Macaca fascicularis: one gene and its partners. Each later gene encodes a partner of the first gene's protein in a complex. Links are inferred from orthologs where the notes say so. Each region holds a gene or a part of one and is shown in the gene's direction. Other genes may lie near its edges.

Evidence for each region.
Region 2: the proteins of TUBGCP6 (region 1) and TUBGCP4 are in contact, whole or in part, in a cryo-EM structure (PDB 7QJE), measured with the Homo sapiens proteins. The link is inferred for Macaca fascicularis from reciprocal best matches to the Homo sapiens genes TUBGCP6 and TUBGCP4. Residues at the interface, in NP_065194.3 of Homo sapiens: Leu312, Thr313, Ala315, Gly316, Arg317, Ala319, Phe320, Phe323, Leu326, His327, Glu349, Pro390, Glu391, Ser392, Ser395, Leu396, Glu399, Tyr403, Ser455, Leu456, Leu457, Thr458, Gly460, Phe461, Lys464, Lys465, Arg468, Arg471, Tyr472, Glu475; in NP_001273343.1 of Homo sapiens: Met1, Ile2, His3, Glu4, Leu6, Leu7, Ser10, Gly11, Tyr12, Pro13, Gly14, Ser15, Ile16, Gln29, Phe31, Pro32, Phe33, Leu34, His35, Pro36, Glu38, Thr56, Ile59, Glu60, Thr63, Val66, Gln67, Gln68, Ile84, Arg87.
Region 3: TUBGCP6 (region 1) and NME7 share a complex: the UniProt entries of both Homo sapiens proteins name them as parts of the gamma-tubulin ring complex. The link is inferred for Macaca fascicularis from reciprocal best matches to the Homo sapiens genes TUBGCP6 and NME7.
Region 4: the proteins of TUBGCP6 (region 1) and MZT1 are in contact, whole or in part, in a crystal structure (PDB 6M33), measured with the Homo sapiens proteins. The link is inferred for Macaca fascicularis from reciprocal best matches to the Homo sapiens genes TUBGCP6 and MZT1. Residues at the interface, in NP_065194.3 of Homo sapiens: Met1, Ala2, Ile4, Leu7, Phe8, Asp10, Leu11, Cys12, Ala14, Leu15, Pro17, Ala33, Leu37, Val40, Ala41, Ala44, Leu45, Asn48, Ile70, Leu73, Lys85, Arg88, Leu89, Leu92, Val93, Glu95, Leu96, Leu104, Leu105, Ser109; in NP_001065243.1 of Homo sapiens: Asn17, Ala20, Val21, Thr24, Val27, Leu28, Glu30, Ile31, Ser32, Ile34, Leu35, Asn36, Thr37, Leu39, Glu42, Thr43, Leu44, Ile46, Cys47, Arg49, Leu50, Cys51, Glu52, Gln53, Ile55, Asn56, Pro57, Glu58, Ala59, Leu60.
Region 5: the proteins of TUBGCP6 (region 1) and TUBGCP5 are in contact, whole or in part, in a cryo-EM structure (PDB 7QJE), measured with the Homo sapiens proteins. The link is inferred for Macaca fascicularis from reciprocal best matches to the Homo sapiens genes TUBGCP6 and TUBGCP5. Residues at the interface, in NP_065194.3 of Homo sapiens: Glu290, Ala291, Ser292, Lys293, Arg294, Arg295, Cys296, Trp297, Glu298, Arg299, Val300, Gly301, Cys302, Pro303, Pro304, His306, Arg307, Glu308, Glu309, Pro310, Tyr311, Leu312, Glu314, Lys322, Arg325, Leu326; in NP_443135.3 of Homo sapiens: Asp211, Asp212, Arg213, Trp215, Leu216, His219, Val220, Val221, His222, Trp225, Ser230, Phe232, Pro233, His234, Leu238, His239, Ser240, Asn241, Leu242, Leu264, Val265, Thr266, Glu267, Thr268, Gln269, Arg272, Val302, Thr303, His304, Leu305.
Region 6: TUBGCP6 (region 1) and tubulin gamma-2 chain share a complex: the UniProt entries of both Homo sapiens proteins name them as parts of the gamma-tubulin ring complex. The link is inferred for Macaca fascicularis from reciprocal best matches to the Homo sapiens genes TUBGCP6 and TUBG2.
Region 7: the proteins of TUBGCP6 (region 1) and TUBGCP3 are in contact, whole or in part, in a cryo-EM structure (PDB 6X0U), measured with the Homo sapiens proteins. The link is inferred for Macaca fascicularis from reciprocal best matches to the Homo sapiens genes TUBGCP6 and TUBGCP3. Residues at the interface, in NP_065194.3 of Homo sapiens: Pro65, Arg67, Asn68, Leu71, Met72, Ser74, Phe75, Asp76, Arg78, Asp87, Glu90, Asp151; in NP_006313.1 of Homo sapiens: Pro9, Asn10, Val11, Leu13, Gln14, Glu25, Ala26, Ala29, Gln30, Phe32, Gln33, Val36, Arg37, Ile39, Gly40, Ser41, Phe43, Thr129.

The regions. Positions count from the first base shown.
Region 1 is NC_088384.1:1,327,137-1,330,636, forward strand, and holds part of TUBGCP6 (gamma-tubulin complex component 6), read left to right. Parts: intron 1-997; exon of another isoform or gene 998-1,523; coding exon 1,524-1,697; exon of another isoform or gene 1,698-1,752; intron 1,753-1,873; exon of another isoform or gene 1,874-2,960; coding exon 2,961-3,082; intron 3,083-3,500. UniProt on the Homo sapiens protein: Component of the gamma-tubulin ring complex (gTuRC) which mediates microtubule nucleation.
Region 2 is NC_088381.1:19,972,732-19,976,231, forward strand, and holds part of TUBGCP4 (gamma-tubulin complex component 4), read left to right. Parts: intron 1-912; coding exon 913-1,078; intron 1,079-1,328; coding exon 1,329-1,453; intron 1,454-3,500. UniProt on the Homo sapiens protein: Component of the gamma-tubulin ring complex (gTuRC) which mediates microtubule nucleation.
Region 3 is NC_088375.1:26,996,340-27,000,459, reverse strand, and holds the start of NME7 (nucleoside diphosphate kinase homolog 7), read left to right. Parts: upstream 1-1,320; 5' UTR 1,321-1,407; coding exon 1,408-1,410; intron 1,411-1,586; exon of another isoform or gene 1,587-1,644; intron 1,645-4,120. UniProt on the Homo sapiens protein: Possesses an intrinsic kinase activity. Displays 3'-5' exonuclease activity with a preference for single-stranded DNA. Does not seem to have nucleoside diphosphate kinase activity.
Region 4 is NC_088391.1:63,681,607-63,685,725, reverse strand, and holds the start of MZT1 (mitotic-spindle organizing protein 1), read left to right. Parts: upstream 1-1,319; 5' UTR 1,320-1,362; coding exon 1,363-1,441; intron 1,442-4,119. Other genes in the region: BORA (protein aurora borealis), read right to left, coding at 1-49. UniProt on the Homo sapiens protein: Required for the recruitment and the assembly of the gamma-tubulin ring complex (gTuRC) at the centrosome.
Region 5 is NC_088381.1:447,444-451,565, forward strand, and holds the start of TUBGCP5 (gamma-tubulin complex component 5), read left to right. Parts: upstream 1-1,322; 5' UTR 1,323-1,351; coding exon 1,352-1,497; intron 1,498-3,985; coding exon 3,986-4,039; intron 4,040-4,122. UniProt on the Homo sapiens protein: Component of the gamma-tubulin ring complex (gTuRC) which mediates microtubule nucleation.
Region 6 is NC_088390.1:63,716,598-63,720,894, forward strand, and holds the start of tubulin gamma-2 chain, read left to right. Parts: upstream 1-1,497; 5' UTR 1,498-1,719; coding exon 1,720-1,768; intron 1,769-2,049; coding exon 2,050-2,162; intron 2,163-2,364; coding exon 2,365-2,532; intron 2,533-2,845; coding exon 2,846-2,914; intron 2,915-3,403; coding exon 3,404-3,430; intron 3,431-3,777; exon of another isoform or gene 3,778-4,159; intron 4,160-4,297. UniProt on the Homo sapiens protein: Tubulin is the major constituent of microtubules, protein filaments consisting of alpha- and beta-tubulin heterodimers. Gamma-tubulin is a key component of the gamma-tubulin ring complex (gTuRC) which mediates microtubule nucleation.
Region 7 is NC_088391.1:103,021,299-103,025,275, reverse strand, and holds the start of TUBGCP3 (gamma-tubulin complex component 3), read left to right. Parts: upstream 1-1,177; 5' UTR 1,178-1,348; coding exon 1,349-1,424; intron 1,425-3,977. UniProt on the Homo sapiens protein: Component of the gamma-tubulin ring complex (gTuRC) which mediates microtubule nucleation.

The DNA.
Region 1 (3,500 bases):
TTTGAGACAGGATCACCCAGGCTGGAGTGCAGTGGTTCAAACATGACTCACTGCAGCCTCAACCTCCTGTGCTCAAATTGATCCTCCTGCTGCAGCCTCCTGAGTAGCTGGGACCAGCAGGCCTGCACCACCACACCCAGCTAATTTTAAATTTTTTTTGTTTTTTTTTTTTTTGAGACGGAGTCTTGCTCTGTTGCCCAGGCTGGAGTGCAGTGGCGCCATCTCAGCTCGCTGCAACCTCCACCTCCCACATTCAATGATTCTTCTGCCTCAGCCTCCTGAGTAGCTGGGACTACAGGTGTGCAGCACCACGCCCAGCTAACTTTTTGTATTTTTAGTAGAGACAGGGTTTCATCATGTTGGCCAGGATGGTCTTGATCTCCTGACCTCGTGATGCGCCGGCCTGGGCCTCCCAAAGTGCGGGAATTAGAGGCAAGAGCCACCACACCCAGCCTAGAGATGTCTGTGTGTTTTTTGTTTTTTTTTTTGAGACGGAGTCTCACTCTGTCGCCTAGGCTGGAGTGCAGTGGCACAATCTCAGCTCACTGCAACCTCTGCCTCCCACATTCAACGATTCTCTTGCCTCAGCCTCCTGAGTAGCTGGGAGTACAGGTGCACACCACCATGCCCGGCTAATTTTTGTGTTTTTAGTAGAGACGGGGCTTTGCCATGTTGGCCAGGCTTATCACGAACTCCTGACCTGAAGTGATGCACCCGCCTCGGCCTCCTGAAGTGCTGGGATTACAGGCGTAAGCCACCATGCCTGGCCTAACTTAAAATTTTTGTAGAGATGGGGGTCTCGCTATGTTGCCCAGGCTGGTCTCAGACTCCTGGGCTCAAGTGATCCTCCTGCCTCAGCCTCCCAAAGTGCTGGGATTATATGTGTGAGCCACTGTGCTTGGCCTAACAGCTCTTTTTAAAATATCTCTTTAGGATATACACAGTGCTGTTGTGATTTAGTATCTTGTTTCCTTGTAATGTGGGATATCTCTTTTCCTTTCTAACGTGCGTATTTGCAGCTGTAACCTCCCTCCTGGCTTCTGCTGCACCCCGTTCGTTTCGGTTGTCATGAGCCCTCTACTGGGGGTCTCCACTCTCTGGTTACAAACACATTGCGGGGAATGTGCTGTGGCAAGTCTTTGTGCATCTTCCATCGTTTCCGCTCTTTCATCCCGAAGAGTTGAATGAGCGGGTCTCACGGCAAACATGTTTTATAGCTTCTGCCCTAGGAGGCTGTCTGTGTACTTGTGTCCTGTGGAAGGTGTTCTGTTGTTTCCTACCCTTTTCTACACTTGGCATTTTAAACATGTATTTTTCAGTGTGGTGAGAATTTGTGCCTTGTTTTGGTTTGTACGTTTTTGTCCCTCAGTGTAGGAGTTCTGGGTGCGCCTTCTGGGCGTTTGCTTTTGGGTCCTGGGGGCACTCTAGGTGGTGTGGGGTTGGGTGCAAGGGTGGAAGGAGATGGCACCTTCCTGGGGGTCTGGGTGCCTGGCCTCTGAGCAGTGTCCTCTACCCCTGTGCAGCCGGCCCAGGCCTTTGTGGTGAAGCGGGGTGTCCACGTGTCGGGAGCGTCTCCCGAGAGCATCAGCAGCCTGCTCTCGGAGGTGGCCGAGTATGGGACCTGCTACACGCGCCTGAGTCACTTCTCTCTGCAGCCGGTCCTGGACTCTTCGTACAGCAAGGGCCTCGTGTTCCAGGTACGGCCTCTGCCTCGTGGCTGTCACACATCCTTGTGAGAACGGTGCACACGACCTGGAAAAGAGAATCTCAGAAGTCCTTCTGCAGGACCAGACAGTCTAAACCTTTTCTTTCCTTGCTAACATCTGAAACCCAATAGTGGCTTGTGAGGGATGGGTCAGTGAAGATGTTTTACCTCACTGGAAACCTGGGGCAGATGCGTGTGGGCCCTGGGGTGTGTGGGAGGCAGGTGCAGCCAGCATTCGGGGCATGCGAGGCAGGAAAGGCGTTAGTGGGGCTCTTGCCGCCTGCTCCCCAGTGGGCCCGGCACATTGCGGATGACTGACGCTGCCTGGCCCTCGTGTTGGGTGAATTTACATTGCTGGGCGTTCTGAGCCAAGTCTGGCTCCGGAAGCCGCTCTTTGGTGAGTCTTGAAGCTGGCTCATATGCTGAGTAGAGACCCATGGGACAGAGGCTGCACCTTGACTGGGAGAGAATAGGCAGGCGGATGATCAGTAATTTGGGGGCTGAGAGGAGGGTGTTCGGAAGGTGGGCAGAGAGCACTGGAGGAGCCAGGTGGCGCAGCCTCCTTCAACTGTTGCTGCCACAGCAGGGGCTGTAGGGTGGGGTGATGTGGTGAGGTTTAGGTTTTAGACGGGCTGCGGAGGTGGACATGGTGGGAGCTGCATGGGACGGGGAGAGCTTCTAGGCAGAGGCTCAGCCCTGGGGGACTTGAGGGCTGCAGATGGTGGAGAAGGGGGCAGAGCAGGGACACTGAGAAGGGCTGGACTGTGGTTCCCACTCATCTGGCAGGCGTGGCCAGGCGGGTTCTGGGGTGGGTGGACTGAGATTGGTCCAGGGTGCGCCTGTCTTGGTGTGACCTGCAGGGCCTGCTGCTGTGGCATTGCCCAGGATGCTGGTGCCACTGAGACCACTGTGGTCCGAGCAGACGCAGCTCTCACAGCACTAGTGTCTGTGCACAGAGCGCAGCCGCCATTTCCCCCCTCACCCCTCAACCCCTATGCCACGCCCCTGGGGCAGCTGGTCTCAGATGAGAGGAAGGGTTGGTGGGGGGGCCACAGCTTCTGGCTTCTTGTGGACGGGCCACATTTCCACCTGGTCCAGTGGTGGGACGTGGCTCACAGAGGCCCATTGCTTGGAAATGGAGCCCAGAGCTGAGGCAGGAAACAAAGCGCTGTGCCCAGTACTGGTGCCCCTCAGGCCCTGGTCACAGCTGCGTCCATGTGCTTGGCCACCCTCCTCCCAGCCTCTTTGCCCACAGGCCTTCACCAGTGGCCTGAGGAGGTACCTGCAGTATTACCGGGCCTGCGTCCTTTCCACTTCGCCCACCCTGAGCCTCCTCACCATTGGTTTTCTCTTCAAGAAACTGGGCCGGCAGCTCAGGTGAGCCTCAGCATGGCGACTGAGCAGGGGACTTTGCAGGAGTGGCATGGAGCTTGCTGGGTGATGGAGGGTTTGCTCTGCTTCCTGGCAAGGAGGGCCTTTGAGAACAGCCCTCAGCAGGTGACTGGATGGCCCTTGGCTGGCCGAGTTCACCAGGTGCCAGGCAGAGTGGGTGTGTCTCCCATGGGCCTACCACAGCTGGCCCCATCCAGGCCCTCCAGGCCTGGTGGCTCCTGCCTAATTGGCACACAGGGTCCCTAGGGATGTGGCTTCTGGTACACACAAGCTGGTTACTGAGCAACCAGGCTGGGGAGCTACTGGCAAGTGCTGTCAGACGAGGAAGAGTGAGGAGTTGGGCGTTGGGAGCAGTGGGAGAGGCGACCTTCCAGGCAGAGGAGCAGAATGTGGCAGCCCTGAG
Region 2 (3,500 bases), on another chromosome or scaffold:
AATAGTCCCCTAAACCAAAGATACTAACATTGAATATGAAAAAAGAGTAAAGAGGTGTGAGAGATGTTTAGAAGGTGGAATCGATAGGCCTAGTGAGTGCTTGGAAATGAGTCAAGAGGGAAGAGTCATTGATGATACCCAGGTTTCTGCCTTCAGCAACTGGGCAAGTAGTCATGATAGGGGTGTATACTGCTGGTATGCGGGGAAGAAGATGGGTCTAATGGCGGGCATGTTGAGTTTGAGGAACTTGTGGGAAATGTTCAGTGGGCTGAACCTGGGGCTCATGAGAGCACTCCAGCTTGCTCCAAATCTACCTATGGAATCATCAGCATGGAGCTTGGAGATTTTTAATCTGGGGCCCTTGGGTGGCTTCAGAAGGTTCATGAAATGTGATATTTCTGTACATTTGTCTGGAAGGTCCATAGCTTTTATGATTGCAGAGAAGTCTGTGACCTAAAAATTAGAACTATCTGTTCCACTGATCAGTCACAGAAGATGATGTGATTGTATAAGAAGTGTAGGCTGAGAGGAAAAGACAGTCTGGGACAGTGCCCTGAGGAGGACCAGCAGAGCAGACAGAGAGAGAAGACCTGGAAAACAAAAAAGACCACCTCTTTCATTATATAAGTAAGGAAGCTGGTCAACTGTGCAAGTGTTTACTCAGTAGTAAAGGCAGAGTGAAGGCCCAAGTCGCAGTATTTAAAAAGCCACTCTTACTTCCACCATGCCACTCTGCTGCCTGAAGATGAAATACGTCTCTCCAAAACGGGTGGTTCGAGAACTGTGCAACACCAGATTTGAAGTCCCTGCATCTTTACTTTAAATCATGGGTTGGGAGAGTTACTAGATATTTTCTTGTTTTCCTTTTCTTGCTTCGTACTTCATCTTGATGTGTACTCTTTCCTTGACTAGCGCCTGATTGAGGAAGAGAACATGCTGGCACCATCTCTGAAGCAGTTTTCCCTACGAGTGGAGATTTTGCCATCCTACATTCCAGTGAGGGTTGCTGAAAAAATCCTATTTGTTGGAGAATCTGTCCAGATGTTTGAGAATCAAAATGTGAACCTGACTAGAAAAGGTAGAAATCTCCTTGTCCAATGTACCGCACCCTCAAAAGCTCTTCTTCCTTAACACTGTGTGGCCCCCCAGCATGCCTGGTCAGAGCTGAGTGGTCGATAATATTCCTATCCTGAGATTGTAGCAGAATCATGACATTTGTCTGAGAAGCAGGTGAAGTTGCTGCCCCACCGAGATCAGCCCTCCCTAGAAAACCCTGACTGTCCTGGGTATTCTCTGTCCTCCTTTGATGGTGCCTTCCTATTTTGCAGGATCCATTTTGAAAAACCAGGAAGACACTTTTGCTGCAGAGCTGCACCGTCTCAAGCAGCAGCCGCTCTTCAGCTTGGTGGACTTTGAACAGGTGGTGGATCGCATTCGCAGCACTGTGGCTGAGGTTTGTGTTTCGTCATATATGTGTGTGTATATATATAATATATATATATATTTTTCTTTTTTTAGAAAAAAATTAGACTAGTTCCCTAGAAATTGAGTTACTTGGTCAGGCACGGTGGCTCATGCCTGTAGTCTCAACACTTTGGGAGGCCAAGGCAAGTGGATCACCTGAGGTCAGGAGTTCAAGACCAGCCTGGCCAACATGGTGAAACCCCGTCTCTACTAAAAATACAAAAATTAGTCGGGTGTGGTGGCAGGCGCCTGTAATCCCAGCTACTTAGGAGGCTGAGGCAGGAGAATCGCTTGAACCTGGGAGGCAGAGGTTGCTGTCAGCTGAGATCACGCCATTGCACTCCAGCCTGTGCAACAGAGCAAGACTCTGTCTCAAAAAAAAAAAAAAAAAAAAAGAAAGAAAGAAATTGAGTTACTTGACTTTTGTTTTTTTCTTGATGTGGTAAGAACTGAGCTTGGAAAGAGCTGTTGCAGAGAGTTGAAGGCAGGAAGCAGAAAAAGAAAAGCCTCAGTTTTCATTAACAGAGGCAGAACTGCCTTCCCATTTTCCTATCTAACTAAAAAACAGGTGGTTTTTAGTTGGTTAGTTAGTTGAATAAAGGGGAGGTCTTGGTTTAAATTTTGAAAATCGCATTTTGGATCTGTCTCTATCGTTTGCAATAACTCCTAGGAATCAACTAATTCTGACTAAATTTAGTGTCTTTCTTGTAGTTTAGTATGGCTTATAACTTGTACTTTCATTTAAATACACAATCATGAGGAAAGCAGAACAAATATCATTTTCTCATTCTTATAAATGGAGCAAACACTCAGCACACTGACTTGTCTGGCTTGTCTGGTGTGGCACAGTGAGTTGCCATAGTGAAGTCAGTGCCAGGCCTCCAACTCCTGGAGCGCAGTCTTCCTCATTTTGAATTGTGCTGCTGCCACCGACTTAAATTGTGACCAGTAAGTTTTCAAAGGAGCATATATGTTCTGTGGCTTATATTAACATTTGTCTCATGGATGTGTGATAACATGAAATGAGACATTTAGTCAACTGCGTTGTTAACTATATTCATGGGTTTCAACATTGGCTAAGCATAGGATCGCATGAGAAAATTTTAGTTTTTATTTTTATTTTTTTTATGGAGTCTTGTTCTGTTGCCCAGGCTGGAGTGCAATGGCGTGATCTCGGCTCACTGAAACCTCCACCTCCCAGGTTCAAGCAATTCTCCTGCCTTAGCCCCCCAAGTAGCTGAGATTACAGGCACATATCACCACGCCCTACTAATTTTTGTATTTTTAGTAGAGATGGGGTTTCACCATGTTGGCCAGGCTGGTCTGAAACTTGTGAGCTCAAGTGATCCTCCCACCTCAGCCTCCCAAAGTTCTGGGATTACAGGCATGAGCCACCACGCCTGGCCCGCGTGAGGAAATTTTAAAACCTGCACTTGCACCAAGTCCTTACTTCCAGACCTTCTGATTCGTAGGTCAGTAGAGGGTCAGTACTTTTGTTTTGTTTTGTTTTCGAGACAGGGTCTTGCTTTGTCGCCCAGGCTGGAGTGCAGTGGAGTGATCATGGCTCACTACAACCTCCGCCTCCCAGGTTGAAGCAATTCATGTGCCTCAGCCTCCTGAGTAGCTGGGACTGCAGGCCTGCACCAGCATGCTTGGCAAACTTTTTTGTATTTTAATAGAGATGGGGGTTTCGCCATGTTGGCCAGGCTAGTCTTGAACTTTTGGGCTCGAGCGATCCTTCTGCCTTGGCCTCCTAAAGTGCTGAGACTACAGGTGTGAGCTACCACGCCCAGTAGGAACTTCTATTTAAGCAAGCCAGTCCATCCACCAAAGACAAACCTCTACAGGGGATTCTGAAAATAGAACTAAAAAGCAGTGCACTTCGCTCAGTGTCTGGAACTGCTAAGAGCATCAACTCTCCATGGGTTGGAAGCATAATAATCTATTATAAATATGGTTTCCCTTTCTAGTCACTGTCTCAAAAACTCCTGGTCATCACAGATAGAACTGTGTTGTAGACACAGAATGTTCAGTCT
Region 3 (4,120 bases), on another chromosome or scaffold:
CATACTGACACAATTCGTATGCACACACAGACACACACACACATCAAAAAGGAGCTTCTGTTTAGATGTGTAACGAACGAGAAAAAATATTACTCAAGATAACATAATTCATATTTTTTTGGTAATAAAGTTAAAATAGTGTAGCTCCAAAAGTAAAAAGAGAAACATATATTGAGCACATGCTTTCAGAAATGTACACACTGCCTACAGTACAGACTCAGATTTACTAGAAAACATATAAAAAGGTGATGCTACTGCAATGATATAAATATGACAAACTGTACACTAGATGACAACTGGTGTCACTACAAAAAAAGATCGCTCTCAGTACTAGATACAACTCAGTTCAATTAGTGAACCCGACGACTAACTTTCTTAACAGTCACAAACTTTTCTACACTACAGTCTATTGCTCCGAAAAGAGGTATCCAAAAAACCCTTCGTAAGAGTAACGATCCCTGAAACTGCCCTTGATAGTTGCTCTGCGAAACATACAGGCACACCGAGTGCGTGCTGGCAAATGCCAAATGAAGGTGAGGGGGTGAAGAAGTAAGTAGGGGGAGTGAGCAGGTATGAGAGCGATAGGCCGGGAAGCGACAAGTCTGTCAACCTTTGCTGTCCCGGGAAGTCGAAACCGAAGTTCCATTCCTGTCTGAAAAAGCCTTCCCGGAACAACAATCGTTCCCTAAATCCAAAGCTACTGGCCACCAAGCTCCAGCCAGACCTCCGTCCCTTTCCAACATCCTTAGTTATACCTGCTTGTCCTCGGATTTACCTGTAAGATTCTTATTCTCCGTATTTCAGGGGACTTCACTTCATAGGCTCTTCGGATCGGTATCACCAGGCTAACTTCTCACAGACCTCTTCCATTCAGAAGCCGGCCCGCCCAGGCCCTCCACATATCCAGGAGCTCTCTCACTCCTAACCACTTCCGATTACTCAGGGTTTCGCTTCCGGAATACGTTTCCAAAAGAGAAGGGTAAATACATTCTGCAGTGCGTTTAAACTCAAGTAACACAGAACACACACTGTAAGGCCTCCGTAAGTGGAAAGCGGACAGATGTCTACTTTAAAATAAAATACTGTACAGCAACTTTTGGAGCCCAAGCCTCAGATTCACTTAAACTTCCGGGCCAGCTGTTAAACAAACGGAAGTAAAACTGCCGGAAACAGAAAAACGGCGTCTCGTAGCCCCAGGCGACAGCGTGGAGGGGCGGGCCTGTCGATTGGATGAACGCAGCTGAGATTACTCCCAGCCACTAAGGACGAAGAGGTGGGGCGGTGGCGTCCCACGCACCGTGCGACAGTGGGCGGTGCTCTGTTGCCTGAGTAACCGGATGATGGTGTTGGTGGTGGTGTCTTCCTGTCTCAACGATACCTATTTTCTAGTGCTGAGATCCTGAGACAATGGTGAGTGCCAGGGGATGTCAGAATAACGGCTGTGGGTCCTAGCTACTTAGCGTTCCAAGTCTTCGGGCGGATGGGCACTTAAAGTTGTCCTGTCCTCCCGACCTTCTCCTCATTATCTCTTTCCCCCTTCCCATGGGCTGTTACTGCAGTTTACTCGCTCTCCGTATTTCTTACAGCACCCTGAATTCCACTGATGCTACTAAGTCTCTAGAGTAATGAAACAGAAAATTCAGGGTAAGGCATCGAGTCTAATCACCTGTTTTGAACAACATTATGTGTTTTCATTGTTCATCGTGGCATTTTTCATGCTCACAGATTCACATTAACGCGCTTTATTAAGAGTGTGGGGTGGTGTGTATGTGACTGTCTCAACACTGATCTGAATCTCCCTAGATCTTGGAGTCCTTTTGCTTTTCTGAGTGGCAGAGCACTGCCCCACGCCCCCACGAGGGCCATTAACAGATGTATGTTGGATCAGCTCTCGTCTGTCCAGTTGCTTACCTTCTAGGTCTGTGCTTGCTTTTCTTTTCTTTCTTCTTCTTCTTCTTTTTTTCTTTCTTTTTTTTTTTTTTTAAACAGAAATTTCTCCTGGGATTGCTTGGAGAGCTTCTGCAATTCACTGTTTGGACTTCACCCCTGGAAATTCTGAATGAAAGGAATGGGGCTTGGTATTTGCATTTTAAATAAACCTGTAGGTGATTTTAATTCACCCACATGTTTGAGAGTACCAGGGTTCTAGTTAATTCACTTAACTATCGTGTCTTTTAAGCACTTATGGATAATGGACTGGAAGATAGAAAGATCTTTAGATAGTTATAGCTACGAATTTAGAAACAGAGCCCCCACCCATCACCCCTTGTTTCTTCATACTACTCAGCAATCCTTTTGGTTACCCCAGTTTTCCCCTGCCCCATTTTCTGTAAAGACATTTTCAAACCTTCCATTTATAAACCCTGTCTTTTGCCCTTCTCATTTCTCCTTTCTAAACATGATGGAGTATAACAATTCTTCAACCTCATGCCCCCAACCTACACACTGATCTATATTTTTGCCAAGCCTTTAGTCTTGTATTTCTAGTGTAGAGAAAGGGATATTAAAGGATAATCCATCCATCTTTGCTTTTGATCTCATTTGCTTCCATCTGTTACATTTCGCTTCCAGTTGTCTTTTTTCTTTCCTGTGCTTTCAGCCTCTTCCTCTTCAGTTCCTTCTACTCAGTGCTCAAGTCACACATCTTATGAAAATTAAATAAAGCAAAACCATGTCATCCATCCTGTGTTTATCCAGTTATTTCCCAGTCCTCCTATCTATCAGTAAACTTATTGAAAGGATATTATTTTTACTTATATCAAACAGACAAAAGTCTTTTGTCTGGCTTCTTTAATGCCTTCAAGAAAGTTGTTCTTGCTTAAGTTTCTAAAGGCCTTTTAAATGCCAAATACAGTAATTACTTCTCAAAATTTATATCGCTTAGTCTGTTTGTGACAACTGAGGTTCATAGTCATTAATTCCTTTTACTGGCTGTGCCTGGTTTTTGAATGTCATTCTTTGGAATTCACTCCTTAATTACTTTCATTTCTTAGTCTAGACATTTTCCTTGGGTGATTTTGTCCACTCACATGGATTCTATTAACACCTTTGATTTTGCTTCTAAATTTCAATTTTTCTCTCAGATCTACTAATGCCTAACTCAGTTGCTTCCCGGACACATCTGTCTCAAAGGTCCCTCAAACTTAATATGACCAAAACTGAACTTGCTATCTTTCCTCCTGGTTTCTCCTATTTTCACCAAGTTAAATACTGCTACTACTATATTGTAACCTAAACTAGAAATCAGAGTTATCCTACATTCCTCCCTTTCCTATTTCTCCCATATTCAGTTGGTCACTAGATCAAATTTTAGTTTGTCATCTCCTCATTTCTTGATTATTTTAATAGTGACTTTTACAGTCTGGTCTGGAAATTCTCCAATCCATTATTTTCTCTGCCACAAGAAGGAATTTTTAAAAACCCAGCCTGTTGATTTACTCACCTCCTTAAAACTCTAGAATCCCCATTTCCTACAGTAAAATGTCTAGAGTGGCACACAAATTCCTCCATGAACAAGCACTTCTCTGTCTAGCTTTTGCCTTTCCTTTTCCATACCTTTTTTTTTTTTTTTTTTATAAAAAATTATCTTGCCTTTTAGCTACTTGCTTTTCATTGAACATACCAAGCAACTTCAAACTGGTAGTATGCCTCCTCTTTCTACTTTGCACTTGCAATTCCTTCTGCACAGAATACCTGCACCCTCTTGTTGCTTGCCAAACTCTTATTTATTCTCCTGTTACAGGCCAACGTGTTCTTCTTGCCCGCTTCCCAGAAAGGCCAAACATCGAGAATGCAGGAGTTGCAGCAGAGAAAGAGTTTAATGGAGGCAAGGCAGCTGAGTGGCAGGATAGGAGATATTTCTAAAATCCACCTCTCTGACAGCTTGGAGGTTGTGGTTTTTAGGGATAATTTTGTGGGCAGGTGGGTAGGGAGTGGGTGCTGCTGATTGGTTGGGGATGAATTTATAGGTGTTTCCAAACTGTCTTCCTGTGCTGAGTCAGTTGTCTAGGTGAGAGTCATAGGACTAGTAGAGTCAGTTTCTTGGTATGAGTCATGTATCTGGGTGGCATCAGGAGGTTTGCCAGAATGCAGAAGCCTGAAAAATATATCAAGACCAATC
Region 4 (4,119 bases), on another chromosome or scaffold:
CTGGAGTTTCTGGTGTTATTTGCATTTTAGATTCCTTGACATCTCCCATAGCACAGAGAGAAAACTAAAGAGAAATCAAGAGTACATATGTTAAAATTACAAAGTCCCATAGATATTAATTTTACCTATTAAAATGTATTCGACAAATGTGTCACAAAAACAACTCAAAACCTAACACTCTTGGGGCTATGATACAGCTTATGAAAAAAGTATCACATATAAATGTTCTCAACTGATCCTCGAAATAACCTTGAAAGCTATAGCAGTAAGTTATTAGTGATATTATTCTGTGAAAGAATTAACAAGCTCAGAGACGTGAAGTGGCTTATACGCAGCAATCAAATATGAATTCAGATCTAAAGGTTACAACAGGCACAAATCTCTTCTCAACTAAAGGACTTATAGCTACAATTTTTTTAAAATTCATCATCTCACGTCTCAACACTATGAACATTCTTCGGATACCCCATCCAACTACAGTTGCTATTAAACAATTCTTTGTAGCAAGCAGGTAAGAGATGCAGAAGCTTGTGCCTTTCTTACACATGAGTCCTAGCCAGAGAAGTATGATTGACAGGGGCTAGGAAATTAACTGCCTTGAGTCCCCTTTCCTCCAAAAATCCTCCTTTCGCCAAGACCTCCCCCTCAGCCCTCCCAGGATAGAAAGCGACTCTGCATTATTTCCAATCAAAGGAGGCTACAACTTGGCGGGGTGGGGTGGAGAAGAGTCTACTTCTGTAAGGTTGAGATGCAGCCGGCTTCCTCGGACGGAGCGCCGAGGAGGCGTCGCCCCCCACCCTACGTGGCCACTCTTTCTGGTGCCCCTGTCTTCCACACCTACTCCCTGACTGCTCCCATTCACCAGGGTCCAGCGGGCAGGCAAGTCAGGAGCTGGGAAAAGAAACCTCTCCATTCAGACAGGAGGAAAGGTCAGGGACCATAAAAAACCTACCTACCGGTGCGTAGAAAACGAAGCCCCCAATACCGACTACAGGGAGCTCCCGGGGGCCAAGCCAGCTTCCACGTCAGGCACAGACTCTTTAACTCCCCGCTTCCGCGCTGTCTTGGGCCAACCAGGGCACGGGGCTTGTGAGCGACTGGCCAATCGCGTCGTCCCGCCATCCGCGAACCAACCAATTGCACGGAGGCCGCGTAGAAAATTCGAATAGCAACTCCTCGCTCCACGTTCCGCGCAGAGGAACGAGGCTCCAAATTCAAATCAACGCAGCCTCACGCCGGCGGCGAGCGCGAGGGGCGGAGCCTGCCCGGCGTGAGCGGAGACGCGCCGTGTGATTGCCCGGGAGAGAGGAAGGCGCTCCAGTTCCGGGTCAGGCCCTTCTCACGCCTCCCTCGGCCTTAGCCATGGCGAGTAGCAGCGGCGCTGGGGGGGCGGCGGCGGCCGCGGGGGCGAATCTGAATGCGGTGCGGGAGACCATGGACGGTGAGTGTCAGTTGCGCTCCTTTTACCTTGCCTGCCTTCCCAGAGCCAAGGCCCCCAGGCGGAGCTGAGCCTGGGGAGGACTTCAGGTCCCCTTCGTGCCCCAAACGGCATCTTCGAAGATCTTTGGAAGGGACCTGCCAGGGCCGCAGGACTGATGGCCCTATCCCTTGAGAGTTGTCTCCGCCGCTGCGTAGTTTGTCGCGCGCGCCAGACGTTGCGGCCCCCTAGTCAGCCGGTTGCGCACCGCGTCCTTCTCGCGCGAATGCCGCGCCCCTTCTATCCCGCGTCCCAGGTCCGCCCTACCCGCCCGATCTCCTGCGGTGACAGCGCCACGCCCACCCCACCCAGTACACCCGTTCCCTCCTGCGCGCCGCGTCCCACCGGATTCCCGCGCAGGGCGCTTCGGGGGTCCCCAAGGTTGGGATCCTGGCGGGGACAGGGGCCAGGTGTTTGGTCACCGCTATGCCTCGTGTTCTTCGCACTTAAGTAGGCGGCCTTTAATATCCTGCGAATGATTAAGTTCCCCCCTTCGTCAGAATTATCCTAGTTTCCTCTTGAAGCGGGTGACGCCAGTGCCCAAGTGCTATGGGTGTCGCCTGTTTTCGGCCCTGGAGCCTACACAAGCTCTGGAGCCTACACAAGCCCTGGAGCCTACACAAGCGTTGCAGAACACGAAATTAGTGTCTTGCCGGTTACCTTCTCTCTACTCTCTAATGCCACTTTATAACCCTGTGGTGAGCTTGGACTAGATACTTAAACATTGAGCCTGTTTGTTTAAAATAAAATCCTGCCTCCGAGAGTTGTGAATATTTAAATAAGACAACCATGTAAAAATATATCAAAGATGATCAATTATTTTTATATTATTTCCGATGTCATCTCTCTTGTAGTCTCCTTTGTCTCCTTTTTACTCACATCCACCTGTATTATGAGTGTTTGATCGATGTTAAATGTCATTTGCAGTGGGCCTAGACGTTTTCCAGAGGCTACTTAAGTCAGCTTCCCTCTCTGTTAAAAGATAACCCTATGAAATTCTCACTCCTGTATCTCTTTCTCCTTCACTGTAGGCTTTTTTTTTTTTTTTTTTTTTTTTTTGAGATGGAGTCATGCTGTGGTTGCCCAGGCTGGAGTGCAGTGGCGCAACCTCAGCTCACTGCAACCTCCGCCTCCTGTGTTCAGGCAACTCTTCCCAGCCTCAGCCTCCGGAGTAGCTGGGATTACAGGTGTCCGCTACCACACCCGGCTAATTTTTTTTTATTTTTAGTAGAGACGGAGTTTCACCATGTTGGCCAGGTTGGTCTCGAACTCTTGACTTCAGGTGATCCACCCACCTGGGCTCCCAAAGTGCTAGGATTACAGGTGTGAGCCACCACCCCCGGCCTCATTTTCTTACATAGCCCCTGCAGAAGGGCTGCTGGCTTTTTCTGCACTGGCTGCTCGTTCCTTTTCAAAGAATTACATTTTTAGAGACTTTGCATCTAATTTTTCACTTGTTCAGTATCTACCTTGCTGTTTTTCTGAGAATGTTAATATTCAGCCTATTTTTCTATCCTTTTCGATGTATCAACACTTACTAGTTTTATTTTGTAAGTGAATTTATGCATGTGTATGTGTGTGTGTGTGTCTGTGTGTATAAAAATTTACTATCTTGTATGTTTCCTTGGAAAAAGGTAGAGTATAAGACCTCACTTCTAGCCTGTTTTCTTATGTTAGCTGTACTTAGGTTCCTTATGTATATGGTCGTAGGATCCTATTTGAATAGAAAACTCATATTTTCTCTCGGTGGAACCACTGATGTACAATTGAGAACTGATGATTTGTGTTGGCTACATCATCAAGATCTTTTCTGAGAAAACCTGGTGTAAAATGAAGATTATAGAGAGAATAAGAACATGAAAAAGTGAAGTAAAACAAAAAATGAAGGAGAGGGGATGTGGTGTTTCACAGTATTTAAATCAACCCGTGAGATCAAAAGTGAAATTTTCAAAACTTTGAGTACCATTTCTCCCCTCAATGGCAGGATTTGTGAACCCCCCTTTAAGTCATATGAATTGCAGAACTCTTGGCTACATTTGCGTTTTGATCATGAAATGGAAGGATTTTGTTAAAGACATGGGAGGCAGCAGGCTGACTTTGTATTAATCAGTTATCTGTGTAGCTCACTCTGAAAAGAACTATCCCTGCCTATTTAGAATACGGTCTGCATGAGATCTTTGCTTTCATCCTTATATCCTTAAAATTCTGCATTCTCTTAAAATAGTCGTGCCTTTTCAACAACACCCCCCGCCCAACCCACTGGGTATGGTTGCCTCCTTTGCTTTTCAGTTTTTTGATATGTTAGGTATTCTCTGTTGATTGCTTTATACTTTAATTTTTGTTTTCCTCTCAAATCATCCTATGCATCTGAATTTTAATTTTGATAGTTATTCCTTACGAGAGTCTTTATCATAACACTTACTTTTTTTTTTGAGACTGAGTCTGGCTGGAGTGTAGTGGCGTGATCTTGGCTTACTGCAACCTCTGCCTCCCAGGTTCAAGCTGGGGATAGGACCCAATTCTCCTGCCTCAGTCTCTGGAGTAACTGGGATTATAGGCGCCCGCCACCATGCCTGGCTAATTTTTGTATTTTTAGTAGACACAGGGTTTCACCATGTTGGCCAGGCTGATCTCGAACTCCT
Region 5 (4,122 bases), on another chromosome or scaffold:
CTGGGCGACAGAGTGAGACTCCGTCTCAAAAAAATTAAAAAATTAAAAAAAAAAATTCAACAAAATTCAACATCCTCTCATGAGAAAAATCCTGAACAAACTGTCCATAGAAAGAACATTACTTCAACACAATAAATGTCTTATAAAATAAACTCACAGCTAGTATTACACTAAATGGGAAAAAAACTGAAAGCCTTTTCTCTGATCTGGAACAAAACAAGGATACTCATTTTCACCACTTATTCAACATAGTACTCAAAGTTTTAACCAGAGCAATTGGACCACAGAAAGAAACAAAAAGCATGCATATTAGAAAGAAAGTCAAACTGTCGTTGTTTGTAGATGATGTGACTTTATATTTAAACAAACCCAAAGATTCGTCCAAAAAACTGTTAGCACTCATAAATGAATTCAGTAAAGTTCCAGGACACCGCCGGGTGCGGTGGCTCATGCCTGTAATCCCAACACTTTGGGAGGCTGAGGTGGATGGATCACTTGAGGTCAGGAGTTGAGACCAGCCTGGCCAACATGGCGAAACCCCGTCCCTACTAAAAAATTCAAAAATTAGCCTGGCGTGGTGGCACACGCCATTTGTGGTTATGAAGTCCCCCAGAACCTCTGGCCAGGTGTGGTTGTGAAGTCCTCCCAGCACCTCTGGCCAGGTGTGGTTGTGATGTCCCCCAAGCAGCTCTGGCCAAGTGGGGTTATGAAGTCCCCATTCCCAGTACCTTCGGCCAGGTGGGGTTATGAAGTCCCCCCAACCGCCCCTGAGGAGCAGGCGGAGTAAAAGCGAGCCGGGACTGCTAGCCGGTCGGGACCGCTGCTTCGCTGATGCTGGTTGTGTAGCACGGATGTGCGTAGCGTGATTGTGTTGTGTGGATGGGGGCACTGAGATCCGCGGGGACCATCACTGCAAGGAGAAGCTGCATGGCCGGGAGAGTTCAGCAGCTGAGCGGGTCAGGGTTCCTGGAAAGGCAGGTCCCAACGCATTTCCCGACCGGGCACCTAACGGGCTGCTCTCAAAAGCACTGACTATCACCGAGGCTGGCCAGAGACCCTTAAGTATCTAATTCACGATGACACCAACTAACTCTGAGTACAGTAGAAAATGCACAGTCGGGCGACCAGAATATGCACACTCGAGCCGCCACCATGGGACTGCTCCAGGCAGTACCCACCACAGCAGGAGCTCGAACTGTCGCGAGAATAACTGCCAGCTTGCTAGTTGCCCGGCACGGGAAGGCGAACTCTCGCGAGAAGGCCGCCAGCTTCGGGGGCAACTGCCGCGGGACCTCGAACTCTCGCGCGACAGCAACCAATTCGTTAGAAGCGCGTTGCAGGCGCGCGAAACATGGCGCGGCACGGGCCGCCGTTGAGCTGGCTGGACGCGCAGCAGGAGCGCGACGTGCGGGAGCTCGTCCGGGGTGTCGCCGGCCTCCCGGACGAAGCAGACCCCAACTTCCAGCTCGCCCTAAACTTCGCCTGGTCCAACTTCAGGTGTGGGGCGCGGCGCGCGAGCGGGTCCCGGGACACAGCCCGGAGCCCGCGCGTGGGTCCGGCGCAGCCCGGGGTCGGGGTGCGCTGGGGCGGGGCATGGGGCTGAGGCGGACGCGGTCTCAGAGAGCCCTCGCAGGCCCTGCCGCCGCCCACTCCCCCCGGCCAGCGCCCTCGGCGCGGTGCTCTGCGCACCCCACGGTGTGTTACCTGGAACGCGTCCTGATCGTCACGGGGGGAAGCGCGGAACTGGGTTTCTTGCCACCGGGGCGCGCTCCTGCAACCCAGCGCTCTGGGAGGCCGCAGGCGGGACTCGAGGCCAGCCTGGGCAACGTAGCAACTCCATCTCTATAATTTTTTATTTTATTTTATTTTATTTTAATTAAAGAGATTGTATTCTCACTGACTCCTGCTCCCTGGTCAGCCCAGTGTAAGGTCTCTCTCACCCTGCTCTCCTTTTTACAAAACGCGTGTCATGACATTGATTTTACCTGTTATGACTGTCTCCTCCGCTTCCACTCCAACTAGAATGCTGCATCTCTGCACAGCGCCTGACAACGTAGCAGGCTTAGTCAGCTAATGCAATTTCTAATGCAGTTTCTCTTGTAACTAGTTTTTAAAGACTTACAGAATTTAGATGTATACGTGGAGTGAGATCTATTTTTCTTTATGGGAGAGGGAAATTAAACAATACTTTTATAGTCATTACCCATAATGAAATTACTAAGAGAATGTTAATGTTAATATTCTACCTGTTTAATTTCAGTAAAAATCTTGAATAATGAACAGTTTTTTAAAATCCGTAATTTTAGTTACTTTAATGATCATAGTCATAAAGTGTCTAGTTGGCTTATAATAGGAATACGGGGCTTTCATATTCTTTTAAAGCATGCCGAGTTTCCGAAGTAATAAACTGAATTCTTAAATGTGACTTACAAAAATAAACAATGTGTGAAATAGGTTATACAACACAAAAACTTAAATGCTGAAATTCAAGTTTTTTTTACTAATATTTCTAAATGACAGTAGGCAGATGGTCATCATTTTAGAGGTGGGAGAGACATTAGAGGTTACTGTTTCCATTCACAGGTTTCAGGAACTAAATTATAATAGGTAAAGTGGTGTACCATTCACCCATTTACTGGACTAGATTCATGTGTTTCTCAGTATTGTAATTTTTTTCTTTTAAGTACAGATTGCTGGCTTTGATACTAAAAAATGGGAAACAATTTTTGCATAGGCTATGTTATATACATATACATTAGTTGCATAGGCTATGCTATAATTTTATGATGCTTTAAACCATCAGAAAAATGAATAGTTCATGTTTACATTGTTGAAAATTGTGGCCATTGGCCGGGCGCGGTGGCTCAAGCCTGTAATCCCAGCACTTTGGGAGGCCGAGACGGGCGGATCACGAGGTCAGGAGATCGAGACCATCCTGGCTAACACGGTGAAACCCCGTCTCTACTACAAAATACAAAAAAACTAGCCGGGCGAGGTGGCGGGCGCCTGTAGTCCCAGCTACTCGGGAGGCTGAGGCAGGAGAATGGCGTGAACCCGGGAGGCGGAGCTTGCAGTGAGCCGAGATCGCGCCACTGCACTCCAGCCTGGGCGACAGAGCGAGACTCCGTCTCAAAAAAAAAAAAAAAAAAAAAAAAAAAATTGTGGCCATTTAGAATTCTAGGCCCTAGAAATTCAAAGATGAGTAAGATATAGCCTCTGTCTTTAAAAAAAGACAGAGATAAAAGGGATTTTAACCTTGGGATCTGGAGATATAATTCAGATATTTGTTAATTTGGATGAGGAAAAAATTATACTAATCTCTAACTGAAAAGTAGCATCTCCTTCCATTATAAATGAAGGCAGCAAACCATAGTAGTATTAGCCTACCTGTGACTTTATCGCCAGTAGAATTCACATACTGTTTTCACATCAGAGTTGTAGATATTTGTAAATGTTGTTTACTGTTACTTTAATGGTAGTTATTGTACCTACTGCTAAATCTTGTTATTTAATACTTTCATAAATAACATTTCTTGCCATATCATAAACTTCTTGAAATATTTGACAACTGTACCCCAGTATAATTGGATTCCTTTGTATTTCGTTTTTGGCATTTAAAAACATTATTCAGAGAAGGGATCCTTAGGCTTCAGTGGGCCTCACTATAGCATAAAAAGATTGGGACCACCTGATGTAGAATGTGTTCAGCTGGATTTAGATACAGGGTCTTATGGGAAGACAGAGGAGCCAGAGCCAAGGTTGGGAGGGTCAGGAAGCACCTGTGTGCTGGAGAACGGTTGCTTGCACAGTCTCGGACATGGTGATTATTTGCCTGTCTTGGTGGAGGTAACTGAAGACAAGGTACACTCCATTCTGGAAGTGTGTAGCTGAGTACAGAGCATATGGGGGATGTGGAGGGCCATGAGATGAGTTCACTTACCTGTGTGACAGAGTTGGCATAAGAATTGCATTTTGTCTTTATTAGATTTCATCGTTTCTTGGATGTGAACAGCCACAAAATAGAAAAAACAATAGAAGGGTAAGTCAGTGTATGTATGTACACATCCTAAAATACATGTATTTTCTTATAGATCTTTTTAAGATAGCTTTATAATCATTGTT
Region 6 (4,297 bases), on another chromosome or scaffold:
AGTAGATTGGTCATTTCAAAGTTACTTGTCTTGTAAAGGTTAAAGAAGAAAGGACTTCCGTATCATGCCGGCTAAAACTGGCCTGTTTGGGGTTTTGGCTGTTCCTTCTCTCTCCTGATTCCTCTGAAGGTTTGATAAACAACTTAGTGTTGCTTAGTGACATGGAACTTTAGCATGAGTGACTCCATTTTGGTTTGGTCTGTTGGGCCTAGCACAGGAGCTCAGTGCAAACCAATAGCCTCCTATATAATTGAACCCTTGTGCATCGCTGGTGGGAATATAAAATCGCTGCAGCTACCATGGAAAATCATATGGCGATTCCTCAGAACATTAAACAGAATTACCATAGGATCCAGCAATTCTATCTGTGGGTGTATATCCAAAATAATTGAAAGCAGAGACTCGAACAGATATCTGTACACTCACATTCAAAGCAGCAACATTCACAACAGCCAAAGGGTGGAAGCAACCCAAATGTCCATGGAGGGATGAATGGTTATGCAAAATGTGGTACATCTATACAACGTAATATTATTCAGTTGTAAAACGGAAGGAAATTCTGACACATGCTACAAAATGGAAGGATCTTGAAGATATTAAGTGAAAGCAGCCAGACCCAAAAAGACAAATACTGTATAATTCTACTCATATCAGGTGCCTAGAGTAGTCAAGGGGAAGTTACTGTTTAATCGCTATAGAGTTTCAGTTTGGGAAGATGAGAAAGTTCTAGAAAAGAATGGTGGTGACGGTTACAGAGCAATGTGAGTGTACTTGATGCCACAGAACTGTATGCAGTAATTACAAATGGTTACAGTGGTAAATTTTGGCCAGGAGTGGTGGCTCATGCCTGTAATTCCAGCATTTTGGGAGGCCGAGGTAGGAGGATTGATTGAGGTCAGGAGTTCAAGACCATCCTGGGCAACACGGTGAGATCCTCATCTTTATAAAAATACATTTTAAAAATTTAAAAATTACCTGGGCGTGGTAGCACACGCCTGTAGTCCCAGCTACTCGGGAGGCTGAAGTGGGAGGATCACTTAAGCCAGAAGTTCGAGGCTACAGTGAGCTATGATCTTACCACTGCACTCCAGCCTGGGCGACAGAGCGAGACACTTCTAAAAAATAAAAAATGAAAAGGTAACATACATGTGTATGTATTGTAACACCATTGAAACATAGAAATTTAAACGAAGAAAAGCTGGCTTCTAGCCCTTGGACCTAGCAAAGCTGGCAGAGTCCTCACCTACCAATATAGGTAGGTGACTCCTTACACGTGGACAAGCACGTCCACCTGGTCGCTTCGCCCCTACCCTCCCCTCCCTTCCCCTTCCCGCGTCTCCCCTCCCTTCCCCTTCCCGCGTCTCCCCTCCCCTCCCCTCCGCTCCCCTCCCCTCCCCCACACATCCATGTTCCGACCCTGCCACCCCTAACAAGTCTCACTGCGCAGGCGCGGAGCGGTGGGCAGGAGCAGGCGTGGCCTGACTGTGCGCTTGTGCCGAATTCCAGCTGCGACTGCTGAGGAAGAAAATGATGCCCAGGTTGGGCTCCACGGCCCACCGGCCGAGGAGAGGCCTGCGCTGCACACGCGCAGACCGAGCATCCGCGTCAAGAGGCGAAGAGAGCGCGCGCTCCCCACGTCCTGCGCGCCTGGCTGCCAGGCATTCGTCTCAGCCGTGACTCTCGCCAGGCCGGGGCTGGGGCGCCCACGTCTGAAGAGCGATGCCCCGGGAGATCATCACCCTGCAGCTGGGCCAGTGCGGCAACCAGAGTGAGCAAGCGAGCGCCGCCCCCACCGGTCTCTGGTTCTGCCCCTTTGGGTCCCACCCAAGTGCCTGGCTTCCACCAGTCCCCCTTCCCCTTCCATGAACCCCCTAGCCTGCTGCTCTGGATAACCCAGACCGAGAGCTGCGCTCCCAGCCCGGGACTGGGGCAGCCACCAGACCCAGGCATCTTGGGTCCACCCTCTGATCGTGTCGGCCTCTGAGACTAAAACTGGGCTCCTCAGGCCTTAAGGCTCCAGCAGACCCGGGCATCTCCCCCCTCCCCCAGTTGGGTTCGAGTTCTGGAAACAGCTGTGCGCTGAGCATGGTATCAGCCCCGAGGGCATCGTGGAGGAGTTCGCCACCGAAGGCACTGACCGCAAGGACGTCTTTTTCTACCAGGTGCCCCCAGCGACTTGGCCAAGGGCGGCAATGGCCCGAGGGGCCAGAAGGGAAGGGAGTGGCCTGGTACTGGGAACCCTGCTGGGCAGTGGGGCCAGGCGGCTGGCTTGAGGAGGGAGGGCTGGAGGGAGCCAGAGTTGGGAGGACTTAGGACTTGGGCCACCCTAGCTGATTGGGCCCCCTCCTGGACTCCCCTTGACAGGCAGACGATGAGCACTACATCCCCCGGGCCGTGCTGCTGGACCTGGAGCCCCGGGTGATCCACTCCATCCTCAACTCCCCCTATGCCAAGCTCTACAACCCAGAGAACATCTACCTGTCGGAGCATGGAGGAGGAGCTGGCAACAACTGGGCCAGTGGATTCTCCCAGGTGTCCGGGCGACTATTCCAGAGACCTTTGATAGTCCCATCCAGAGGCAAGGGAGGCTCAAGCTACTAGGAATTTGACCAGACTGCCAGAAAATAAGAGACAAAAGGATTCCCCAAACAAGAGGGACAGCCAGGGAGAGGTTTATGCAAATTTTGTGCAAATCATTTGCAATAGTAGCACTTCTGGGTTGAGGGCTACAGCCTAGGCTTTGCTTCAGGGTGGCAACAGTATTCCAGGGTAGACAGTGCTGTACTGAGAAAAGATGCGCTCTGGAACCTTTGGCCTGACCCTCCCTTTCCATGTCTCTATACAGGGTGAGAAAATTCATGAAGACATCTTTGATATCATAGACCGAGAAGCAGATGGAAGTGACAGTTTAGAGGTGAAGTTATGGAGTGGGGGAAGGAATGGGCAGGGAGGCTGAAGAGTGCTGGGGAAACGTCAGGAGGTGGCCTGGATAGGTGATGTGAGGGGAGCAATTCAATTCAAAACCCATTTATGGAGCATCAGATGTGGGATATTGAGGTGAATAAAATATAATCTTTGTTCTTAAGGAAGTCATAAATCTGAATGGCACTGGCCCCTTAGGCATGAGTCACTCAGCTTCTCCAGCTCCAAACCTTCCCAAGGAGCCTCAGCCTGGATGCGTAAGAGGAAGCTTTGAGACATGGGCGTTTTGGGAATGGGGAATGAGCCATGCCGAAGTCTTCCCCCAGATCCTTGGAGACTGCCTCTCCGTCTCTCCCCATGCTGGGCGCGATGTGTTCCTGGCTTACAACTCTTATAACCCATGTAATTTCCTAAGGGACTAGAGCAATAAGAGTATGTTTTGTTACAATATTTGACCTTTCGTCCTTGGTTTCTGAAACAGCTCCAGAACAGCTCCAGAGTGATAAAGGTGAAAGACAGTCTTTTGTTATTTATAACAAGCCCCTTTCTTTTAGATTAATCTTTCATTTTATTTTAATTAGTTAATTTTACTAACCGCTGTACTAAGGAGGAACAAGTGCATTTCAACCAAACCTGAGCTTATGTTAAAGAGGCGATTTTTTGGAAAGTCCCAGATAGCCACTGGATGGGGTGTTGGTTGCCAGGGGAACAAACCTGGTGCTCTGAGGGTTGGAATTTACAGGCCCATCCCTCACCTCTGGGGAAGGGAGAGGGATGAAGATTGAGTAGAGCACCAATTGTCAATGATTTAATCAGTCATGCCTGTGTAATGAAGCCTCCATAAAAATCCAAAAGGACTGAGTTCGGGGGCTTCCAGGAAGGTGAACAAGAACACATCCACAGGCCGGGAGGCTGCAAACCCAGCACCACAGGGCAGCAGCTCCTGTGCGCCGGAACCTTCCAGAGCTTCCCCTCGGTATCTCTTCATCTGGCTGTTTATTTGTATCCTTTAAAATATCCTTTATAACAAACGGGTAAACGTAAGTGGGTGTCTCCTTGAGTTCTGCGAGCTACTCTAACAAATTAATTGAACCCAAGGAGCAGTCCTGAGAACCCCAATTTATAGCCGGTTGGTCAGAGGCACAGATAAAACAACCTGAAGCTTGTATTGGCATTGGAAGTGGGAGAGTCTTGTGGGACTGAGCCTTCACTCTGTGGGATCCGATGCTATCTTTAGGTACGGATACTTCTCAACTTACAGTGGGTTTATCAGGACATCACAAATTGAAAATATTGACTAGGCACAGTGGCTCATGCCTGTAATCCCAGCACTTTGGGAGGCTGAAGCGGGTGGATCACCTGAGCCCAGGACCTG
Region 7 (3,977 bases), on another chromosome or scaffold:
GCGTTAGTGAGGGGGGTTTCTTGTATGTCTGTCCTAGGAGACAGCTGGTCAGATAAGATGATGCAGTCATGCAGCGTTTCAGCTGAAGGTGGGGGAGAGGCTGGCAGAATGTAGATGACATCTGGACACTGTAGTATGGGGCTGAGAGAATAACTTCATAAGAAGCCAGTTACTAACTGATCGTGTTGAGTGTGGTGCAGGTTTAGAAGCGCTTCCACAGAATGTGGATCGAAAGCAGTGAGGGGTGATGGCATCCTTGGTGCTCTGGTTGCTCTTGCAGAGCTGTGATGGTTGTTGCTTCATGCAAGGAGGCAGTCCTTTAGCTGCAGGGTCTAGTTGTTGACTGTAATATCCTACAAGTCTGCTTTGTCTCCATGTTTTTGAGTCAGAACGCCAACAAATGTTTTACTTGCTAACAATTCTGCAACCAGAGCTGGACCCAGGCCCGACGGGCTTTGCAGACAGTCACATGTGTGGCTGGCCTCAGCTGGGATGTTGGGATAGCTGGATTGTCCTCCCTCTTCCATTTCATGGGATCTCGGGATCTCTTTCCATCATTTTTCCTTCAGGAAGTTGGCCTTTTAACATGGTAGCTCACGGCTCCCAAGCGTGCACCCATGTGTAAGCTTTAACGATTGCACTGAAGATGGCTTGGTGTAATTGTCCGCTTATCGATCTTTTTCTCGGCAGGTCTTCTCCTGTTCTCTCACTCCGTACGTGATTGATTTATTTTCCCAGGACGTCCCAGTCACCCGGACCTGGGGGAGCGGCCTGCGCGGCGGTGTGAGGTCGGGCCTGAGCAGGGCGCCTGCTGGAGAGTAGCAGGTGACTTGCCACACCGCATAACCCCCTGCACCCTTTAAACAGGCTTCTTTCATCAGAAGCGTGAATCAAACCAATACCGTTAACACACACGCCCCCATATAAACACACCAAATTATGGCCTTTAAGGTGCTACCGGCCACCAAGTGCTCTCCAAGGAAGCCCGTGACGCTCGCGACTCCAGGGCCGCTCTGTCCGCGAAGCTCGAGGGCCTCGGGCCACCTGTCGCCCGGAACTTTCCCGGCCGGACGGGCAGCAGCCGGGGGAATACTCAGGGCAGGGCCGGGAACGCTTAGGCAGCCGCACGCGCGGTCGCGGCGCAGGGAAGAAGCGGGGCATTGTGGGAAGCGCCCGCGCTTTCGGCGGGTTCCGTTAAAATGGCGCCCTGGTGGCCGGCGGCGCCCGCGCCTTAGCCTGTCGGGAGCCGGGAGCTTGAGGGGCGCAGGGAGGGCGCGGGCCGCAGTCCCTGCGCTTGCGGCGGCGGTGGCGGCTCTGCCCAGACCCCCGCGCACAGTCCCGGGCAAGGATGGCGACCCCGGACCAGAAGTCGCCGAACGTTCTGCTGCAGAACCTGTGCTGCAGGATCCTGGGCAGGAGCGAAGGTAGAGGGGCCGGGCGACGCGGGGCCTGCAGACCCACCCCGGGGGCCACTCCCTGCGCGTGCAGCCCTAATACGTCCCGGGGCTGGAGGAACGAGGATGCAGGGCCGGGGCAGAGGGCTGGGGACGGGCCGAGGACGTGGGGCCCGGACGAGGGAGCGGAGGGCTGGGTTCCGGGGTTAGGGAGCCGGGGAGGAGAGCGGAGGGTTGGGGCTCGGGGGTCAGGGAGCCAGGGAGGAGAGCGGAGGGCTGGGGGCCGGGACCGGGACGGAGGGAGTGGAGAGCCCGAGGCCGGGGCCAGAGCGCGGGGCCGGGAGGCGGGAGGGCGGAGCCCGGGCCGGAGCGGGCTGAGTCACCGCTCACTCCGCGCGCGGGTCCGTCAGTGAGGATGGGAGGAATGCCAGCTCGCCAATTTATCCCGGTTCTCTGGTGTCACACGCCAGGGGAGGGCGCCTCTGCGTGCCTTTGGGTTCATGCTGTGTGGGGTGGAGAGAGCGGCTGCGCAGCGGAGGAGCGTGCGGGGTGCTGGAGAGTCACATCATCGTCCCTTTTCATTAGGAAAGTTTAACAGGCTTGAGCATTATGGGAATGGGGTGTTAACGATTATCTGCCATATTTTCTACTGTTTAAAGGGTTGAGGGTTGGATTTGATATAAAACTATTCTGGGAAAGTTCACATGGCGAATATTGTTACTAATAAGCTAAACTAATCCTATACAGTAGGCAAAACCATTTTGTAGCCGAGGTACTTTGAAAGAAATGGTACAGGATGCCATTTCTTGCTCCGTGTTTTGGCCAGGTTGGTGGGGGAGAGAGTGAGTATGCACCGTGAGGGAGTTTTCTGAGTAATGGAAGCAAGTGTGTTACGTCTTAAGGACCAAAATGTGGAAAAGAAGTTATTCAGTTTTTGAAGGAAGACTTCAAAGTTACATTTAAAGTACTGGGAATGCATTTTGACTTTTTATGCTTCATGACAATTACTGCGTGTAATTCATTGGATGTTCTATGATAATCTTTGGGCAATCATGAATTATTTTGTGTTACTATTAAATGAGTGACTTCACACAATTCTTGCTACATTTTGTAAAGTTTCATTTTATCTCTTTATTTATCTAAGAAATCTTTGAGAACAACCCCGTCCTCAAAGTTCCTCCCAGGAACTATGCTAAGTGCTGGTGATGCAGATGCACAAGTCATTCCTCCCACAGATCTGACACTCTAGTGGAAGAGACAGATGATAAACCAGCCATGTTAATTAGCAATAAGTACTGTGGTGAAAAAGTACGGTAAAGGAATAGAGAGAGGCAGATCACGAGGTCAGGAGATGGAGACCATCCTGGCTAACACAGTGAAACCCAGTCTCTACTAAAAATACAAAAAATTAGCCGGGCGTGGTGGCGGGCGCCTGTAGTCCCAGCTACTCGGGAGGCTGAGGCAGGAGAACGGTGCGAACCCTGGAGGTGGGGCGTGCAGTGAGCTGAGATTGCGCCACTGCACTCCAGCTTGGGCGACAGCGAGACTCCGCCTCAAAAAAAAAAAAAAAAAGAAAGAAATAGAAGAGACAGGTGAGGGAAAGCCTCTGAAATATTTACAGAGACCTGAATGGAGTAAGGGAGGGCCGTTTGAACATCTGGGGAAGGTTCTGAGTAGAGAGAACCAACGAAAAGGCCTTGAGTTATGAGCATGGCCTGTCCTCCTTTGTTTTTGTCATTAGCACACTGAGTTTCCTTTCTCATGTTTCATGTTCCTCGTCATAGGGGGAATCAGATAAAACTAAGATTGATAGGACTTATCCAACTTAATGTCAGTGTTTCCCTTGTACCAGTGGTTCCAGAGTTTTTTGTTCTAGGGATAAACCACACATTCATACATTCCCATTGTCATAATTGGATTTTGAAAGTCATTCATCGTGAGCTAAAATGGTATTTCTCAACTTAAAGACTTTTGAGACAGAGTCTCATTCTGTCGCTCAAGCTACCGTGCAATGGCGCTATCTCGGCTCACTGCCAGCTCCGCCTCCCGGGTTCACGCAGTTCTCGTGCCTCATCCTCCAGAGTAGCTGGGACTACAGGCGCCCACTACTACGCCCGGTTAATTTTTTGTATTTTTAGTAGAGATGGGGTTTCGCCGTGTTAGCCAGAATGGTCTCGGTCTCCTGACCTCGTGATCGTCCTGCCTCGGCCTCCCAAAGTGCTGGGATTACAGGCGTGAGCCACCACCGTGCCCGGCCAAAAACGTTTTTTTTTTTTTTTTTTTTTTAAACATTGAAGATTCTTTGATATAAAAGTTTTGCCCCTTCTAAGAGATTGAAAAGCTTCTTTTCAGCAAAATTCTGTATCCTACTGTCTTCCCATTTAGAATTGTGTCTAAATTAAAAGTGGGCTCTCAAATCCTGGCAGGGTCCTCTCTGAATTATTTATTTATTTATTAGAGACGGAGTCTTGCTCTGTCACCTAGGCTGGAGTGCAGTGGCCTGATCTTGGCTCACTGCAACCTCTGCCTCCTGGATTCAAGTCAGTCTCCTGCCTCAGTCCCCGAGTAGCTGGGATTACAGGA